4 linked regions of the Arabidopsis thaliana genome follow. The protein of the gene in region 1 interacts with the protein of each later gene in a biochemical or structural test. Each region holds a gene or a part of one and is shown in the gene's direction. Other genes may lie near its edges. The genes, in order: COI1, JAZ3, TIFY7 and TIFY10B.

Region 1 (5,911 bases):
TGGGTTCAGTGGTGCCTAACATCAAAGGTTGTCAGGTCCCATCTCCTGATTCATCATCATCTTCTGGCTTTTCTGAAACAGCTGATTCCTCCTCGAGTGCATCATCAAAATCTCTTAGAGCACGCCACTGTGGGACTCAACAGACAAAGACCCAAGGAAGCCTCAGCCCTAGAGCAAGCTCCTTCAAAGAAAACACACTGAGAAATGCTTCTCTACGTATCTCCTCTAGAGATAAATCAAAGGGACACAGTGAAGGCCATTTCTCAATCTTTGATAATTCATCCATTACCTCTATCCCCACCAATGTAGAGGGTTTTATCCAGTCAGAAGGAGAAGTTGAAGAAGCTACTGAGAATTATAATGGAATCAGACAAATTATTGCTTTTGAAGAAGCAGAGTCAACACCAAGTACAATGACCGGACCTCCCCCATTTCCTTTGAAGATGGGTCCACCAGTCTTTTCTCCTTATTATTGCTGGTGCCCTCCAACCACTTCATCGCTTCACGCACCATCTGCCTCTTATCAGTTCCCTCCACTATCCATTGAGCTACCTTCCCTTCCGCCACTTTCCTCCTTATTACCAGCATCGGGATCAGATGGATTCTTGATCCCGTCATCACCGCTCGATCTCTCTGACATCCCTCCATTACCATTAGTCCACCACATACCCATTCCAGGCTCATCATCATCATCATCCCAGCAACAGATGATGATTCCTATAATGTGCGACCCTATTGTTCATATTCCAGTTATCGATATCTTCTCTTCAGGTCAAAGCTATCTGGTAAGCGCTGGACCCACCGGGATAATATCCACGGGCATCCCTCCGCTCCCAGTGGAGAATGATTCGCTGGTCGAGAAAGGTGCAAGAGAAACACTACGATTGCTCATAAGCGGAGCCAATGCAACAACATCTACACCTTTGAACCATCATGGAAGCAGAGGTCTATACAGTGTGAGCCGGGATGTGAGTGGTGTGAGCTTGTTTGCACCTATTGGGTTGCAACAACCGAGTTCAGTTGAGGGAGGAGATGGTGGTGGTGAGAGTGTGAGCTCAAGCGAAGCAGTGCCTGCGCCTCCCAGAGAGACTTCTGGTTAATTTTTTTGGTTCTTTGTAAGTGTGGTCCGAGTTAAGTGTATAGAAAACTCATCTCTCGCCTAGTTTTTGGTTTTGTTCAGCCCAAGTCTTTTGGTTTCAGGTGTAATTAGTCGGGTTTTTTGTAGCTTGCTTATATTACCTTTGTTATTTCCGAGTTTCAAATGAAGCTAAGAAATACGATCATAATAAAAAAGTTCTTTTGCAGTATTCATTTTCTTTCATGGTTCCCTCCTTATTCATAGTCATTGTTGTTCTTTCTAATACTTTTCCTGAGCTTTTTTTTTCTATTGGAAAAACTTTTGTCACTGAAAGAAATTTCAATGTGATTGGTTCTTTTCGCAACTGTAATAAGCACTAAAAGTTAATAATTTGCTGCTTTTTAAGTCTTGTTGCTGAATGATTTAATCCCAAAGACGTTAAAAAAAAGACATGTAAATAGTCTTTGTTCCAAAAGTACCATTTTGAGCGCTTTCTTTCGACAATTGATGTTGAACTTGTACCAAATAAACCTTGAAAATCATACATCATTAAATGTAGTTTTTTGTTATATACTTATATTCATATGGTCCATAATATATAGTTAACCATATTATGGACCATATAAATTCATGCAGTCAACAACTTTTTTTTTCCTCATTAAAAGCTACTAATACTGTAGAAAATTTTTATCTTACAAAAGAAAGGAGAATTATTGTATTTTTATTTTAATCACATATAAAGCAACCAAAGATAACATATACTAGTATTTAGTATTTTTAAATTTTTTGCTTAGGATTCAGGTTATTAATACTCTATAAAGAAATAATTAAATCTATCCATCGAATAAATCACACAGCTTATTGGATCAGTTAAATATTCTAATAATATTGTCGTGTAGCTGAGATCTGACCACTGCAAAAATGAAAAGAAAAACATAGAAGTAGAGAGAAGATCGCATCTCGACCGTCAACTTCAGTGTATGAAATAATGATCGTCCCACTTGATCCTCAAAAATATTATTAACCAAACAAAATTTGATTCCATCGTCCCACTTTCTTCTTCTTCCTCCCAATCCGCCTCTTCTTCCTACGCGTGTCTTCTTCTCCCTCACTCTCTCAATCTCTAGTCTTCTCCGATTCACCGGATCTTTCCTTTCTTACTTCTTTCTTCTCACTCTGGTGGTTATGTGTGGATCTGCGACCTCGATTTCAATTCGAAGTCGTCGGTTTCTTCTCTAAATCGAATCTTTCCAGGATTCGTTTGTTTTTTTCTTTTGTTTTTTTTTCGATCCGATGGAGGATCCTGATATCAAGAGGTGTAAATTGAGCTGCGTCGCGACGGTTGATGATGTCATCGAGCAAGTCATGACCTATATAACTGACCCGAAAGATCGCGATTCGGCTTCTTTGGTGTGTCGGAGATGGTTCAAGATTGATTCCGAGACGAGAGAGCATGTGACTATGGCGCTTTGCTACACTGCGACGCCTGATCGTCTTAGCCGTCGATTCCCGAACTTGAGGTCGCTCAAGCTTAAAGGCAAGCCTAGAGCAGCTATGTTTAATCTGATCCCTGAGAACTGGGGAGGTTATGTTACTCCTTGGGTTACTGAGATTTCTAACAACCTTAGGCAGCTCAAATCGGTGCACTTCCGACGGATGATTGTCAGTGACTTAGATCTAGATCGTTTAGCTAAAGCTAGAGCAGATGATCTTGAGACTTTGAAGCTAGACAAGTGTTCTGGTTTTACTACTGATGGACTTTTGAGCATCGTTACACACTGCAGGTACACTTACTTCTCAGTATCTTGTAGCTACTTTGGCTCGATGCTTTTGAGGTTTAGCGACTCCTTATCATTTCCTACTTTGACTAGAACTCTAGATGCATTTGGCTCTTTTTAAAAAACTTAATAAGTCGTCGTTGTACAAAGAACCATATCTTGAGTTTGTGTTTGTAAAGATTTGATCTTCTTTAGCTCAATTGGGTAAGTTGTAACTTTGGTGGATACTTTTTGTCCTTAATGAAATTGGTGAACCTTACTTCATTTGATTTCTTAGTACACTTTACACTAAGAGTAATATAAGCAGAAACATTTATTTCAGAAAGTTTCAGTATTTAGGCGTTCATGTTTGTCTTATATCCTTAATTGCTTTGCAACTGTTATGCTTGCTATTAAAGCAGAAATTGCAATGATCTTCAGTTATTTCTCAATTGGGGAAGTATAAACTTTGATCCGGATTTTATCTACAACCAATTTTTTCCCTCTTTGGGGAACATTCACTTTGTTTATGCATAAATAGCAAAAAGATTGATTTCTGACATCTTCAGTCTGCCAGAGTTTATGTGTATTATTTGGTTTTTGAATCCTTGATTCGGCTGCTGCTGTTCTTCATATTCAGTTTTAGCGGGAAATCCAAATATCTTGAGTTGTTTCTCACTTTATTCATGCAACTGTCTGTTGTCTTGTCCAGGAAAATAAAAACTTTGTTAATGGAAGAGAGTTCTTTTAGTGAAAAGGATGGTAAGTGGCTTCATGAGCTTGCTCAGCACAACACATCTCTTGAGGTTTTAAACTTCTACATGACGGAGTTTGCCAAAATCAGTCCCAAAGACTTGGAAACCATAGCTAGAAATTGCCGCTCTCTGGTATCTGTGAAGGTCGGTGACTTTGAGATTTTGGAACTAGTTGGGTTCTTTAAGGCTGCAGCTAATCTTGAAGAATTTTGTGGTGGCTCCTTGAATGAGGATATTGGAATGCCTGAGAAGTACATGAATCTGGTTTTTCCCCGAAAACTATGTCGGCTTGGTCTCTCTTACATGGGACCTAATGAAATGCCAATACTATTTCCATTCGCGGCCCAAATCCGAAAGCTGGATTTGCTTTATGCATTGCTAGAAACTGAAGACCATTGTACGCTTATCCAAAAGTGTCCTAATTTGGAAGTTCTCGAGGTAAACGTTTAACTTTGCTGTCTTTACTACATACTTGGGAATGCGTCCTTAGTACTAAATTGTGTTCCTATTTTTTCACGAAATATTTGGGGAGATAAGGGATATGAATGCAATATTGGTTCTCTTTAGTCTTTACATCTATATAAGACTGACAACACTTGTTGTTTTTCTTCAGACAAGGAATGTAATCGGAGATAGGGGTCTAGAGGTCCTTGCACAGTACTGTAAGCAGTTGAAGCGGCTGAGGATTGAACGCGGTGCAGATGAACAAGGAATGGAGGACGAAGAAGGCTTAGTCTCACAAAGAGGATTAATCGCTTTGGCTCAGGGCTGCCAGGAGCTAGAATACATGGCGGTGTATGTCTCAGATATAACTAACGAATCTCTTGAAAGCATAGGCACATATCTGAAAAACCTCTGTGACTTCCGCCTTGTCTTACTCGACCGGGAAGAAAGGATTACAGATCTGCCACTGGACAACGGAGTCCGATCTCTTTTGATTGGATGCAAGAAACTCAGACGATTTGCATTCTATCTGAGACAAGGCGGCTTAACCGACTTGGGCTTAAGCTACATCGGACAGTACAGTCCAAACGTGAGATGGATGCTGCTGGGTTACGTAGGTGAATCAGATGAAGGTTTAATGGAATTCTCAAGAGGCTGTCCAAATCTACAGAAGCTAGAGATGAGAGGTTGTTGCTTCAGTGAGCGAGCAATCGCTGCAGCGGTTACAAAATTGCCTTCACTGAGATACTTGTGGGTACAAGGTTACAGAGCATCGATGACGGGACAAGATCTAATGCAGATGGCTAGACCGTACTGGAACATCGAGCTGATTCCATCAAGAAGAGTCCCGGAAGTGAATCAACAAGGAGAGATAAGAGAGATGGAGCATCCGGCTCATATATTGGCTTACTACTCTCTGGCTGGCCAGAGAACAGATTGTCCAACAACTGTTAGAGTCCTGAAGGAGCCAATATGATATGACCCAAAAAACAGGTTTGTATATAAAGATTTTTAGTCTCGAGTTTTGGGGTTTCCACAAACTGTGTACTATACTACTTTGGTTCTTTTTTTGTTTCATGTTGTGTCGTCGATGTTTTTGGGAGATTACATAGAGTCAGTCTTGTTTGTTGTATGGTCATTACTTCTTTATTTTTCCTCAGGGGTCTGTTTACTTTAATTTCTTTAATAAAACCCCGAAGATTTTGAGAGATTTCTTTATCGTCCATGGTGTTGACTTCTGAGAGCTATATTTGTTTGGATTGGCATCTGAAACTTTATTTGTGGTTGTGATTGTTTTGATAACATTAGTAAAAAGGCAAATAATAGAGTACTAATAATCATTTATAACTTTATAGATGAAAACTTTGATTTCTTGTTCTTACACGAATTCTGAAAACGATGTAACAAGCTTTTGATTGGATTAACAGACGATAAAGGAATCTATTAACAATGAGTGGGCATATCTGAAGCCGACCAAAGGTACCCCATTCAGATTCTTCTAACCATAAAAGGAACCTTTACTATAATACATTATATAGGTAACGAAATAGTTGTCTGTATATGCATCTCATTCACATTTGAGAAGATTCCTTCATATGTTGTGATTTTGTCTAATACGCTTTTGGAGGAATCACGCAAACTCAGGGGTCTTTAATTGGTGAAAGAAGGAGAATGATGGATGAGTAACTGAGCATTGGGTACACATTTGCATCTAAGAAGTGCCTATACTGCTTCATCGCCGTTTCTCTCTCTGGGAGATCCGGTGTTATGCAGTCGTAAGGGCTCGGTTTGCTCGTGTCTACAAATGGCTCCCATCGGTATCCTGGCCTATTCGGTAGCGAAACAAGTGTGGCTAAATGACTGGTGTTGAAGGCCAC
Region 2 (5,702 bases), on another chromosome or scaffold:
CATAATTACTAGCAAATAAGTCTATATCAAAATAAAAACTAAAATGTAAGTATTAACAGGTGAGAAATGACCAGATCATTAAGTAGGGAGGCTCTTCTCTGGATCTGGCTCGACGTCGACGAGAAGCAGGATGAGCCATCAAAGGATCCACTAAAGCACCAAACTCAAAAAAAAGAGAGCCAAATATTGCAACTACTCAAGTCAGTCTAAATATAGTTAAATGCTGCGCTATATATCATGCATATACATATGTCATTTGATTTTCTCTTTGCCATTATTTACTCTCATTCGATTTTAATACAAAATTATTTAAGTTGTTGTTGTAAACAGACGTTGCTGTTGCTGTTGAGTTTGATTTAGAATAGTTAAGTTTGGTTTTGGTTGGAGAAAAGTTTTCGTTGTTAAGCCAACTCGTGATCATTTAATCTGTTCTTTTTTTGGTAGGGGGTGATCATTGAATCTTTTGTTTTGAGTTTTGTATGTCTATATAGAGTCTAATACCATTAAAACAAAAAAAATGTCGTGGTAACCAGAATTAAATGATGTAAAAACAGAAAACAAGAATTAAATGTCGGATGTAAAAACAGAATTAAATTTCGGATGTTTTATGTGGATCATAGCGTGAGAGATGCGTTTATGGCATCTTTTGATATAATCTTCGCTTTGTAGGTCCACTTTTGATCTGATCTGATCTATTATCTATATGGAATGTTGTGTATATAATAAACTGCAGTGTAGTATTTTCTTAATAATGTGATATTAATATCTAAATTCTAGGCTGGAGAAAATGACGTGTGCTGCATATCCCCCAGACTCGAAATAACGATGTTATCGTGGGAGATGATCGTCAATTTTTTTTTTGTTTAGAGATCGTCAAGTTGTTGTGATCATTGACTCCTTTCCATTTTTTCTATAGATTTGAATTTTAAATATTCATTTTCATAAAAAAATGAAAACTTTATTATTATATTTGTGAGATAATTAGATATGTTTTAAAACATTAGTAAATTTAGTATAGTATTAGTTTTTACTAAATTAAGAAGAAAGTGACGCACGAAATGGCGTAATTTCCTCCCCCGGACCACATGCATCTTATAAATACACAAAAACGATGTCAACGAGTGATTTTAGTAATATGTACATTAAAGTAATATTTTCTTTTTGGTACCAATAATTACCTTAATTAATACAAGTATAGTTTAAGCAACAAGCAACATTCTTTAATAATTCGCGAAAAATATTAATAAAAGTACAATGACAGAAAAAATAATTAAAAATTGGATTAAAAAAAATAATATTAGAGTGATGACATAATCACATGAGGATTTAGATTTAGCTTAATAATGTTTAGTTGTGGAACTAAATTTCCGCAACAATTATTTTGTTGTATTTAAATCATTTTATGAAAGTCTAATCTTTACAATTACTTTATAGTACCATCCGATTAATCAAAGATTAAAAATATAGTACTAAAATACAAATTAATATATTTTGCCAAAAAAATGCAACGTGCAAATGTTTATCTTGGTCAAGAGAACGTGCACGAAAGTAGTGTAACTAATTTTACTATTTTAGATTGAGCGGTGAGACAAAAAGGGGGTTAGACTCACGCGCTACACTTAGCGCGTCAGCCGACAAAAAAAAGTGTTGTCATTGAATAAAAAAATAAATTAAAACTGCCGCTTCGCATCTCGTGAATCATTCACGTTAAAATAGCGCACGTGCCTCGCCACGCGTCTCACCACAAAAAGAAACGCCACACACTGCACGACGATGCACGTGCCTTTTTAACCGACTATATCCGGTGACGTAACCGGGACAACCTGTAGCTGGTTTTTGCGCCAATAGGATATGAGAAAAAAGAATCTTTTTTTTCTTGTTATAGTTATAAATTAATGGTACGATTCACATGTCGCATGCGATTTGTTAATAAAACTAGAAATTGCGGTGAATTAACTTCATTCCACGTTTTTTCATTTTCTCCCTCAAAAGTCTCTGTTTTTTTTCCTTTTTCCGGCGAAGCTCTATTTAGCTTGATTCCGGCGTTTAACACGCGTTTTAATCGAAACAGACATTTGAGATCGAATTAATTTTGTAGCGGGCTGTGTCTTTATTATAGATGGAGAGAGATTTTCTCGGGTTGGGTTCGAAAAATTCTCCGATCACTGTCAAGGAGGAAACCAGCGAAAGCTCTAGAGATTCAGGTTATTTATTACTCTTCTCAATTTTTCTGATTCTGATTGTTTTTAAATCGTAGATTTGTTTGATTGATTAGGAGTTATTAGGACTACTTGTAGTATGGAATTTGTTTTTGGATAGCTGATTTTATGGCTTGCTCGGGAACTGGAATTGTCAGTTTGTTGCTTGGAGCAGAACATTGTCCTTTGCTTTTCTCGGGAGATGTAGAATTTGGATTTGGAAAAACTAGTGTTCTTTTCCAAAGCCTTGTCTTAAACATGCTTTCGGTCGGAGAAATTAACGAGAACTAATCTCAAGCTTCTAACATAATTAAACTCGGTAAACTTTTTTTTACTAGAGTAAATTTTTTTGTTTTGTTTGAAGAGTCTTATAATTGAGAAATACTTTATTAGTTTATACTAAAAAAAAAACGAATACGTAAAATGTTGGAAAAGAGGGGATGTATAGAGACTGATACAAAAATGATAAAATAGAGACGGTTGGTAGTAGGTAGAAAGATTAAATATACTCAAAAGAGTGAGTTGGATTAGTTTATAAGATGATTAACTTCTTGATTGTGTGAGTTGGATTAGTTTATGAGATTATTAAAATATTGATTGTGTATTTGTGTTGTGTGTTGATTAAGCGGAACTTGCGTTAGAATATTGTTCAAGGTACAATGTGGAAATAATAGTTTTCTCACCACGAGGAATATAATTATTTCAACTTTGTTTTCTTATCAGCCAAAACGTGCCACACCATAAAAGTAGTGCATCAACATGTGGTGTGGTGTGGTGGGGTTAAAGTTTGAATCTCTCTTTAATTTAAACTATTAAAACAAACTTAAATTATTGGAGTTTCGTACAATGACTTTCAATCAAATGTTTTAGAATTAGACACGGTTTTCGAAAGTGGTTTTCCCTCGTTGAATTTGTCAACAGTATCAGATTCTACATTGTTGGTTACTAATCTTTTCCTTGAAGTAGGTGTTGAATTAATCCTCTGTTGTTTATGTAAGGAGATCTCGAGACATTTATGGTTAACAGTTAACACTACATGTTTGACTTTAAACTGATTATCTTTTATTCTTTTTCTTTTGTAGCTCCCAACAGAGGAATGAACTGGTCTTTCTCAAACAAAGTATCAGCTTCTTCTTCTCAGTTTCTATCCTTCAGGCCAACTCAAGAAGATAGACATAGAAAGTCTGGAAATTATCATCTTCCTCACTCTGGTTCCTTCATGCCATCATCAGTAGCTGATGTTTATGATTCAACCCGCAAAGCTCCTTACAGTTCTGTACAGGTATTTGTCATCAAAACCTATGTTAACCAAGACCCTTGTGTTTTTTTTATCCTTCGCAAGATAGCTTTAAAAGTGAGCCCTGTTTTATGAGCATATAGTAATTGGTTTTGAGTCTAGTTTAGCACAAGTTCATGGCAATTAGTTTGTGGATCTAATCTTGGTTTAATACTGATTCATTTTAAGTGTAAGCTAAGCTTCTCATTTTTGATAAGTTAGTTCATACAATGCCTCACACCTACTTTATGGCTTGTTACTCTCAGGGAGTGAGGATGTTCCCTAATTCCAATCAACACGAAGAAACTAACGCAGTTTCCATGTCGATGCCGGGTTTCCAGTCTCATCATTATGCACCAGGAGGAAGAAGCTTCATGAACAATAACAATAACTCACAACCTTTGGTAGGAGTTCCTATCATGGCACCTCCAATTTCAATCCTTCCTCCTCCAGGTTCCATTGTAGGGACTACTGATATTAGGTACCCACTAGTCATCATATCATACAGAAACTCTTTCTACATTTTCATAGTTGACTAAAGACTTATTTTTGTCAGATCTTCTTCCAAGCCAATAGGTTCACCTGCGCAGTTGACGATCTTTTATGCCGGTTCAGTTTGTGTTTACGATGACATATCTCCTGAAAAGGTATCTCAATCATTTTCTTCCATATATGCATCTCTTTTACTCGTAAGGTATGGTACTCATTTGCTTTCTTTCATTTCTCAGGCAAAGGCGATAATGTTGCTAGCTGGGAACGGTTCCTCTATGCCTCAAGTCTTTTCGCCGCCTCAAACTCATCAACAAGTGGTCCATCATACTCGTGCCTCTGTCGATTCTTCAGCTATGCCTCCTAGCTTCATGCCTACAATATCTTATCTTAGCCCTGAAGCTGGAAGTAGCACAAACGGACTCGGAGCCACAAAAGCGACAAGAGGCTTGACGTCAACATATCACAACAACCAAGCTAATGGATCCAATATTAACTGCCCAGTACCAGTTTCTTGTTCTACCAATGTAATGGCTCCAACAGGTAAAAAACAAAGTCAGAGACCTGATACTACATTCGCCATCTAACTTACTAGTATTTTCATGGATGTAACTTCATTCTCGTTCTGTTTCTTATGCAGTGGCATTACCTCTGGCTCGCAAAGCATCCCTGGCTAGGTTTTTAGAGAAACGCAAAGAAAGGTACGCAACACTTCTTTAGAATACACCATTCAATAGTTTCTTGGGCTAACTCTCTTTCTCGCTGTGGGTTTCTCAGGGTCACGAGCGTATCCCCATATTGCTTAGACAAGAAGTCATCGACAGATTGTCGCAGATCAATGTCTGAATGCATTAGTTCTTCTCTCAGCTCTGCAACCTAATTTCATCTACAGTAAGAAGGTTGCTTTAGACCACTCCACATCCATATTTGCATTTCAATGGCGGTCTTTTCAATGTCTCAGTTAATTTTTCCTCACTCGCCACACTGAGTTTCTCCTTAGCTTTATATATACGATAGTGTATACTTTGTTTACATGTTTTTTGGTGGAATGGAACTTATGAGAGCATATCAGATATGTACTTGGGAAAATTAGTAGAAACTGTTTGTTTCTTTTTTTTTAACTCTGTTCTTTTGTATATATCACTGAAGCTCGCATATGTATAATTCATGTAATGGAATTGCATCGCTTCTGTTTCCCTAAGTTATTTCTCTAATCAATTTTCTATTCAAATATGGGGATTTTTTTAATAGGATTTGCTAATTTGTACTCTGGTTAACAATAAGCTTGATACATTACCAGTTACCAACTCGAATTCACAAAAGAAGTCATCATTATATATGGAGAAAATGGAACATCTTTTAGAATTTGCTTTAATTCGTTTTGGCTAATTATTTTTCGGTCTTCGTTTTGGCTGTGAGTTTCTTTGTAACATCCTAATTTCAATATGTGGGCCATTTTGTGTTGTAGCCCATCAAGGCCCAATGTCTTATTGCACAACGAAAAGGGATGTTGCAAAAGATGATAAACCGGATATGAATTCAGTCGCGGTTAAGTTAACGCGAAGACAAAACCGGTTGGACATGTTCGGTTTTCGGCGATGATTATTTCAACGTTTTTCAGTCTAATCAAAACCAATACGAGCAGACACAGCTCCGTACGATCACAAGGATTCACTGATTTCTAAGCTTTTCATAGAAAGAAGAAGAAAAAGGCGGAATTCGATGGTGGATGCGATTCA
Region 3 (4,824 bases), on another chromosome or scaffold:
ATGGCTCAGGGAGGATATGTTTACTTGTCGAAATGTTACGCGCGTTTCAGTGTTGGTGGTAGTCACGCGCGTCAGACCCCAGGCCCAAACTTTGGTCATGGTCAGTCTTCCTCTAAACTTATTTTAACTAAACTAGATAAAAAAATAAAAAGTCGTAATCACTAAAAAAAAAACCTTTTTACGTAACCTCAGATGAAAATTTAAATATTAGACTGATCTTAACAATTAGTCTAATGGTTTATATATTTGTGTACGACGCTAAATTTTTAAACCCATAAAATTGATAGTGTTGACCATAAATAAAAATATGAACATTATACTTGATGGAGAAAACAAATTTATTAAAAACTTTAGAGGTGGATGGATAGTTTTAAAATTATATATATATATATTTGGCAGAAGGAGAGAAGGGCAATAAGGATGATAATGGAGTGGGAAAAACATTGGCGATAATAATAGGAATCGTCACCTTAATCATCTTGCTCGTTGTGTTTCTCGCTTTTGTTGGAAAGTGTTGTAGAAAATTACAAGGTATTTTTGATATTGATTTACGTTTTTTTTTCAGTTCTTTTATCGATCATAAAATCTAAATTACTATGTATATGCCTTTTGCAGATGAGAAATGGTGTAAATGAAAGGACAAAGTGGGAAAGATATCAATCAACAACTCGAGTCGAGCCACACTGTTAGTTGTATTTTTGTAATTTTTTTTGTTCTCCCTCATAAGATGTACGTAGTTATAGTATATTGATAATTTGATATAGTATTGATATGATTGTATCTCCGAATCGATTTTTGTATAATTGTCGGACTTATATAGGCCAAAGCGATATCTTCTTCTTTGATGTGAATGAAACCTTCGATTTCTTATCTTCTATAAATGCCATGTTTTTCGTCTATGCAAAAAATAACAGTAATTAAAAGGGTTTGAGCTTCTTTTATCAATACACAAACAAGTTAAAATAAATGAACGTGTCGAGAATAATGGAACATATTAAACCGTAAATCAGGATGGAGATCCAAAAAATGATAACTGTGTTCGTCCTATTGCGAATGTCTGAACGAATCTTTTCATCGTATTCATCATTATTTATTCTCATATTGTCTAAAGAACTCAATTGAAGACTTGGCCTAATGTCCTTTAATCATTAAAAATGATAATTTAAAATTGTAAGCTGACTACCAAATCGTTTTAGGACTTTGAAAGACCAACTAACGTCTAATTCTTTTCCATATTTTTTTTAATTTTCTGAAATTCTTAATGTACTACCGATGATTGCTTCATAACCAGGTTCTTCTTTTAATTTGTACATGAGTAACATGACTAATAAATGACTTGCGTCTGTTTGAAACATTATATGAATAAGAAAAATTGGTCTCAAATAACAACATGATGTATCAAAGATTCAAAAATTTCACGTGTTATGAAATGAGCTTAGCAAAAGTTCACTCAAGTTCTTGGAGGTCTAGTTTGGAATGCAATTTAGCCAAATCTGTACAGTTATACTGAACAGATTTAATGTAAGTCGGGCCGTAAACAAAATTATGGGCCTTAGATAAGCAAATCAAACTTCTTTCAGCCCATTGAGCATTCTCGTGATTTGGTTATTGTATATCCAATACGTGACATTACTTTTGCCTCAACGAAAGAGTCTTGGCTTATCATTTCATTTATTATTATAGTTGAAATAATTTTCAAAGAAAAGAAAAAAATATGTGATAAATACCAAACCGTTGCATAAGAAAAGCAACCACACATTTTACATGTGTGTGTGAGTTCACGAAGAAAATATCCAATAGCCAAACTAATTAATCCACCTTTGAAAAAAAACATGCACTATTATAAACTAGAGCCACCGACGGTCGACGGATGTCTAATTGTATATGGTCCTCAGAAATGAAAAAATCAAAAGAATAAACACGTGTGAATTAACCGGTTTAACCAGTAGCACCAACCGTTTGTACCGGTCAGAAAAAAGCCCCACATGCTTTAATCAAGCAAGCCTTTAAAAACAGGAAAGGCAAAGAGTTAAATAAGCCTCTCCAAAAGTGTGTCTGTAACATTACCAAAACGAAACCTTCCTTGTGGATTCCCACTTCTTTCTTCTGTTTTCTTCTTCCTCTTCTTTAAATTGGATGTTTTGGGCAAGAAACAGAGAGAAACACGTTAATTTGAGAGTTTGTCATTGAATATTTGGTTTGCAATGGAAAGAGATTTTCTGGGTTTGAGCGACAAGCAGTATCTAAGTAATAACGTTAAGCATGAGGTTAACGATGATGCTGTCGAAGAACGAGGTTTGTGTTCTTGTCTCGAGAATCTTTTATTTTAATGTTTCAAGAAGAGATCAGTTTTCACTTTTAACATAGCCGTATAAAGTTGTTTATTTAAATATAATTTTTCAGATTCCAAAACTTGAAAAAAAAAAGATTCCATTAAATCTTTTATAAAAATGAGATTGGATAGATTAGTCAAATTGACGACCATAAAAAATGATACTTATAGGGTTAAGTACGAAGGCAGCTAGAGAATGGGGGAAGTCAAAGGTTTTTGCTACTTCAAGTTTCATGCCTTCTTCAGATTTCCAGGTTGGTTCATCTTAAAATTTAACTTACTCTGTATCAGTTTCAGATGTTATGGCTAATCTAATGGTTCTATAAGCTACCGCATAATCATGGTCGTCTTTTAGCATGTGCAAGAGGAGTACTCAATTATGGTCTTGATTAAAAAGAAGAATTTACTTTCAAATTATGTTAAACACATCAATCACATATTTATGAGAAAAGTTGTTTTCGTAAGAGATAGCCACCGGAAAATGGTCGGATAAATGGCCGAACTTTATCATTTTTGTGTATGTGGCCAATCATTAACCAGGGAAAAAAAATTGTTGGATAAGTGCTAGTTAAGAGCTGGTAGGGTCGGTCGTCTGCCAGCCGCAAAGTTAGGGAAAAAATAATTTAATATTTTGTGGCGTTTGGTGTTTGGCGTTTGGATCACGTTTATTTCTTGGCATTTTTCTAAATTTAGAATGTACAAAAAATTTAAAGACGTTGACGATTAAAATTTGAATTTAACAAATTAGGAGGCTAAGGCGTTTCCGGGTGCATACCAGTGGGGATCAGTTTCTGCGGCCAATGTTTTCCGCAGATGCCAATTTGGTGGTGCGTTTCAAAACGCGACGCCGCTTTTACTAGGCGGTTCAGTTCCTTTACCAACTCATCCTTCTCTTGTTCCACGGTAATTTCCATATTATGATGCAAAAACATTCAACAATTTTTTTGCTCTTTTCATATTTTGATTTGGTTATGTGGGTTTGTGGAAACAGAGTGGCTTCCTCCGGATCATCTCCTCAGCTCACAATCTTTTATGGCGGAACTATAAGCGTCTTTAATGACATATCTCCCGATAAGGTATATATAATCAAGATTCATACAAATAACATTTACATAACATTTACATGTTCTAAAACGGACTATTCATGATATGTGAGTAGGCTCAAGCCATCATGTTATGCGCCGGGAACGGTTTGAAAGGTGAAACTGGAGATAGCAAACCGGTTCGAGAAGCTGAAAGAATGTATGGAAAACAAATCCATAACACTGCTGCTACCTCATCAAGCTCTGCCACTCACACTGATAATTTCTCAAGGTGTAGGGACACACCCGTTGCTGCGACTAATGCAATGAGCATGATCGAATCATTCAATGCAGCTCCTCGTAACATGATTCCTTCAGGTATGTGTGTCTAATATCAACATCAAAACAAAATATAATCAAGATTTTTGCTTCCTCAAATCATATGTCTAAACTCGAAAATTGCTTTTTTCCAGTCCCTCAAGCTCGGAAAGCATCCTTGGCTCGGTTCTTGGAGAAGCGCAAAGAGAGGTTTGATTTTGTATTTTTTTTCTTTATAGAAAATTTTGAGGTTTTTCAATTGAATCTAAAAGAATTGATGTTGTTGGTGCAGGCTTATGAGTGCAATGCCATACAAGAAGATGCTTCTTGATTTGTCGACCGGAGAATCCAGTGGAATGAATTACTCTTCTACTTCTCCTACATAAAACCTACACTTTTTTTTTTTTTTTTTACAATGGTAATTTGTAATTGTAATCATTAGATTATGATTATATAGTTACCATTTATATTCTTACGAGCAGGAGAAGACGTTAGGGCGTCTCTGTATTTGATCATTGTTTGTAATGCTTTGGTCTGTTTATTGTAGGATTACATTATAACTTTAAGAACTAACAGATATATGTTTGTCATGGACTCATGTCTGTCAAGAATTTAATATCAAATAAAATTCACTATAATTTTTTTTTTGCTAATTTCACAAACACACTTCATTAACTAATTATATGAACACTTAATTGATTTATACCAAAATCATATTGAATGCATCGCTAAAGAGAATAGTACTAGTTTTGTATCGCCAGCTTTCGTTGTTAACAAGTCCACTTTACTATTATTCTCTCGAGTTTTTTTTTGGTATCAATGTAAAGAAAATAAGAAGGTGAAAATTCTCTTGAGGTTGATGATTGTGTAAAATACCTAAGATGATATATTACAAAAAATGATATGTTTTCAAAGGAAAATATTCATGTTTTAAATAGCTTTTTATGAAAGTCACGAGTTCAAAATTTGATGTTAAGGAGAATAAATACTACTAGTTTATGTGCTACAGTAAACAAAAAAAAAATTGTGAACCAAAAGAGCTCACATGTTGATTACGAAAACAGAGAGATTCTCTTCACAAGCGGAAAGATCTTATAGATATTATTATTTAGAGGCAGATAAATAATTGTAGGAAAGTAATAATGGTGAAGG
Region 4 (3,967 bases), on another chromosome or scaffold:
AATCAATTCTCAATTTTAAATTTAGTAGCTCTTGACAGTTTTCCCTTTGTTAATTACATATATAGAGAGTAACTAAATCATCTTTTGAAAGGTAAAAACTAAAAAAATATATTCCAAGGGCCCAATGTTTTACCACTTTCATATGTAAGCTTATTTTCTGTTAAATATGTGAAAGAAAGAAGAGGAATGAATCAGCTGTGAAAACCAAGAGCAAGTATAAAAACATGGCTAAAAGGGTATCAATCAGCCTTGTATAAGAGAGCCATAAGTAGATAAAGTTTCTACAGTAAAAACAGGAATATAGAGTACTATTCCTTAATTAGCTTATGTTCTTCTATTCTTCTTGTGACCTCTATCTTGCATTTTTGTGACCACCCCACTTGCCTTCTTCTTTTTGGTTGCATACTCTAAATAATATCCAGACTTTGATGTCTTTATGCGCTCTGGGTTCTTCTTGTGACCCCTCTTCCTTGTAATTGTATGTACCTGCAGCTTCTTCTGATTTTGTTTCTTATGGATATGTTTGTGATGTATAAAATTTTGTGAAGATGTTTATAAAACAGTTAAAAACCAAATTAACCAATCATCCTTATTTTCTCACGAGCCACTCTATGAACCTTACGTTATCTCGATGTACCTGTAATGAGTTAGCAATTACTACAATCCAAGTCAATAAAATAACAAGTTGGACGTTACGTTATAAAAGAAAATCAAACTTATTTGTGTGTTCCTAACAAACGCATGGGATAATAACAAGAGAATAAAAGACAGAGTGATAGGATCAACGGCTATTGTGCGTAGGAGAACACAGCTGCTATATAAGCCGCGTAACAGGTGATTACTCTGACTACGACACCAACAAGAAAAATTCTCTCAAATGTGGGCAGTTAAGTTAGACACGTGTAAGGTCGCGATTCATGGAGGAGACGTGCTCTTCCCGCTTTTTGTAATTATTTATTACTGTTGTCATAAATAAAACACTAAAAAAAAATTAATAAAAGGGAAAATACAAAACGTGATTTATGGATCAAATTTGCATTGGTGGTGGAGTTTTGGTTATGTAAGACCCACACCGTGTTCCCTCTATCTAACGCCGTTAATCCTCTTTTTTCCCCCAAATCATACCGTTAATTCTCTTTGAGTGCTAAAATATCACGCCGGTCTATGAGATTAAAATAGTAGACTAATTAATAGTGCTAAAAATACATAAATTAATGCCAAGAGATTCATCTTAAAAAAAAGGATATATGAACCAACTAAATGGTATAACTGAAAGACTATCATAATCAAATTTCATCTGAACATTGATTTGTTTGAACTAATTAATTTTAGGATTTTACGTTTTCATAATTTTTTATTTTATTTGAACATCTTGTAAGGGTAAAATGGTAAAAACAGGAGTAGTAAGAGGGTGAAATGGTTATTTCAAGTGTGAAGCGTGGGGACGTGGGTGACGGTGGTGATCTGAAACAGTGGTCTGCCGTTAAAACATTAAATTAAAACACGTGTTTTAAATGTCTCTATGTTAATTAATACTATAAGAGTATATTTTACTAATTTCCGTATCTGCAACCAGCGAAAAAAAAGTAATAAAGAGGTCCTCCATTTCTTCCTCGTGACAAAACGCACTTGGCAGAGAAAGATAAACAAGAACCCTAAGTTTTTTTATAAGATTCGAGAAAATTCAACAACTCAGGAAGGAAGATCCTTTTGCTCCAATTTCTCAATCGAAACGATTTCAATTTCGGTTTCAACGATGTCGAGTTTTTCTGCCGAGTGTTGGGACTTCTCTGGTCGTAAACCGAGCTTTTCACAAACATGTACTCGATTGAGTCGTTACCTGAAGGAGAAGGGTAGTTTTGGAGATCTGAGCTTAGGGATGACATGCAAGCCCGACGTTAATGGTAATCAACCTTTCTCTTTTAGATCTGTTCATTTCGTTTCTGCGAATTTTGAGTTTCCTGTTGCGAATTACGAATTATGAATCGATTACATGTTGTCTGGAAATTGAATCGTTGTAGAGAATCGATGATTAATGGATTTTGAATCAATTTCTATATATGTATGTATGTGTATGAATTTGTGGAGATGGTTCTGTGTTTGGTTTAAGCATAATCCTCTAAAGCCATAGGCCTGGTTTAGTCATTAAGTAGATTTTGTTTTGCAGTTGTTTGAGAGATTGGTGAATGATAATAATCTTTACTTTTGGATCAATTTTCGCAGGAGGTTCACGTCAGCCTACAATGATGAATCTGTTCCCTTGTGAAGCTTCAGGAATGGATTCTTCTGCTGGTCAAGAAGACATTAAACCGAAGACTATGTTTCCGAGACAATCAAGCTTTTCTTCTTCCTCTTCCTCTGGGACCAAAGAAGATGTACAGATGATCAAAGAGACTACTAAGTATGTGTTTATATGTATATAGTGAAAAGAATCGTCTCATATAGTAAGCTATGTTTCATCAGTTTAACTAATTTTTGTGTGATTTTGAACAGATCTGTGAAGCCAGAGTCTCAATCTGCTCCGTTGACTATATTCTACGGTGGTCGAGTTATGGTGTTTGATGATTTTTCTGCTGAGAAAGCTAAAGAAGTCATTGATTTGGCTAACAAAGGAAGTGCCAAAAGCTTCACATGTTTCACAGCTGAAGTAAACAATAACCATAGTGCTTATTCTCAAAAAGAGATTGCTTCTAGCCCAAATCCTGTTTGTAGTCCTGCAAAAACCGCAGCACAAGAGCCAATTCAGCCTAACCCGGCCTCTTTAGCCTGCGGTAATTGATCTCAGCCTCTTTTGGTTCAACCATCTCTGAGCTTGGCTTAGTCCTATTTCTCTAACTTTCTCTCTTTTTGATTTGTAGAACTCCCGATTGCAAGAAGAGCTTCACTTCATCGGTTCCTTGAGAAGAGGAAGGATAGGTAATGCATTTTAATGAAAACATAATATCTTGTTATTCCATAAGTTCTTGTTAAGCGAATTTCTCAATATCCTACTCGTAAACCTTTAACAGGATCACATCAAAGGCACCATACCAAATAGACGGTTCAGCTGAAGCGTCTTCCAAGCCTACTAACCCAGCTTGGCTCAGTTCACGGTAAACTTCGAGCCTGTCCGACCCAGAAGGCACAACTTGAGAGACCTTCTTGTAAGATTCTTCTGATGCTCCATCGTTACAAATATCAAGCTGCTCCTCTGTTCATTTTTTCTATAGATTAATTTCACCCCTAGTAGTTTTGTTTGTTTAACTCCCCCGAAAACTCATTATATTTGTATGAAATCAATATCAATAGTGTTCAATGTTTGCTTCTGGGGTTTAAGTTTTAGCCAGTGTGTATAACCCTTTCCTCTGCCGATCTCAACATTAGCTTGCAACTTTTGTAAGAAACATCACTTGTGTTTTTGTGTTGATGGCCATTAATATAATCCAAGTTTATTTAATCCGATTGTTTGTTCGTCACTTATTGAGAGCTGAAGCTTACAGTTAAGGAACAGAAATACTTAAAGCATTCTCGAAAATAAAGAAATGTCTAAAAAATGATGATTTTCTATCAAGTATTGTCGTGTGAAAGATTTTCTTTAACAAGTCTGCTATTGTTCAAAATACGTTTTAACCTATCTATCCATTATAGTATTAGCATTTTCGTTTTGTTGTTAAATACATGGCACAAACTATGTAGACTATTTTTGGTTAAAATACCAAGCCAGTTACAATTTTGTTTTTCCCAAAATACTAGTTATAACTTTGTAAAATATCCGAAGTCCATAATAAAAAGAGCTTCATAAATATCCAATAAGTGGAGTAGATCAGACCAGGCTTGGTAGGCCACGGGAATTCTGACCCACGATAACTTTTTTTCGTTCGGTCTTGAACAATGATTTGTTCGGTCTTGAACAATGATCATCCAACTAACAAAACGTAAATTTGGTCCAAAGACTGGTCCGAAATTCGTTATGATTAATAAGCCCGAA

What was found.
Region 2: the proteins of COI1 (region 1) and JAZ3 form a complex in vitro, tested with the Arabidopsis thaliana proteins (3 studies listed by BioGRID).
Region 3: the proteins of COI1 (region 1) and TIFY7 form a complex in vitro, tested with the Arabidopsis thaliana proteins (one study listed by BioGRID).
Region 4: the proteins of COI1 (region 1) and TIFY10B form a complex in vitro, tested with the Arabidopsis thaliana proteins (one study listed by BioGRID).

What each region holds. Positions count from the first base shown.
Region 1 is NC_003071.7:16,671,947-16,677,857, reverse strand, and holds COI1 (RNI-like superfamily protein), read left to right. Parts: upstream 1-1,993; 5' UTR 1,994-2,371; coding exon 2,372-2,862; intron 2,863-3,547; coding exon 3,548-4,028; intron 4,029-4,203; coding exon 4,204-5,010; 3' UTR 5,011-5,365; downstream 5,366-5,911. Other genes in the region: AT2G39950 (flocculation protein), read left to right, coding at 1-1,100; ISA1 (isoamylase 1), read right to left, coding at 5,675-5,911. UniProt on the Arabidopsis thaliana protein: Required for jasmonate-regulated plant fertility and defense processes, and for coronatine and/or other elicitors perceptions/responses. Seems to not be required for meiosis. Required for the regulation of some genes induced by wounding, but not for all.
Region 2 is NC_003074.8:6,117,849-6,123,550, forward strand, and holds JAZ3 (jasmonate-zim-domain protein 3), read left to right. Parts: upstream 1-1,858; 5' UTR 1,859-2,119; coding exon 2,120-2,204; exon of another isoform or gene 2,205-3,234; coding exon of another isoform or gene 3,235-3,280; coding exon 3,281-3,480; intron 3,481-3,740; coding exon 3,741-3,955; intron 3,956-4,030; coding exon 4,031-4,121; intron 4,122-4,202; coding exon 4,203-4,506; intron 4,507-4,603; coding exon 4,604-4,664; intron 4,665-4,740; coding exon 4,741-4,843; 3' UTR 4,844-5,196; downstream 5,197-5,702. Other genes in the region: TDX (tetraticopeptide domain-containing thioredoxin), read left to right, coding at 5,686-5,702. UniProt on the Arabidopsis thaliana protein: Repressor of jasmonate responses. Jasmonoyl-isoleucine (JA-Ile) specifically promotes COI1-TIFY6B/JAZ3 interaction. Acts as a negative regulator of MYC2 function. Feed-back regulated by MYC2.
Region 3 is NC_003070.9:26,652,747-26,657,570, forward strand, and holds TIFY7 (TIFY domain/Divergent CCT motif family protein), read left to right. Parts: upstream 1-2,021; 5' UTR 2,022-2,204; coding exon 2,205-2,295; intron 2,296-2,503; coding exon 2,504-2,586; intron 2,587-3,080; coding exon 3,081-3,235; intron 3,236-3,323; coding exon 3,324-3,408; intron 3,409-3,491; coding exon 3,492-3,732; intron 3,733-3,827; coding exon 3,828-4,003; coding exon of another isoform or gene 4,004-4,058; 3' UTR 4,059-4,318; downstream 4,319-4,824. Other genes in the region: HWI1 (Receptor-like protein kinase-related family protein), read left to right, coding at 1-100, 400-531, 616-635. UniProt on the Arabidopsis thaliana protein: Repressor of jasmonate responses. Jasmonoyl-isoleucine (JA-Ile) specifically promotes COI1-TIFY7/JAZ9 interaction. Interacts with and suppresses RHD6 and RSL1 transcription factor activities to negatively regulate jasmonate-stimulated root hair development.
Region 4 is NC_003070.9:28,148,048-28,152,014, reverse strand, and holds TIFY10B (TIFY domain/Divergent CCT motif family protein), read left to right. Parts: upstream 1-1,568; 5' UTR 1,569-1,756; coding exon 1,757-1,904; intron 1,905-2,223; coding exon 2,224-2,401; intron 2,402-2,493; coding exon 2,494-2,771; intron 2,772-2,858; coding exon 2,859-2,916; coding exon of another isoform or gene 2,917-2,920; exon of another isoform or gene 2,921-3,008; coding exon 3,009-3,096; 3' UTR 3,097-3,440; downstream 3,441-3,967. UniProt on the Arabidopsis thaliana protein: Repressor of jasmonate responses. Jasmonoyl-isoleucine (JA-Ile) specifically promotes COI1-TIFY10B/JAZ2 interaction. Activated by MYC2, MYC3 and MYC4 transcription factors.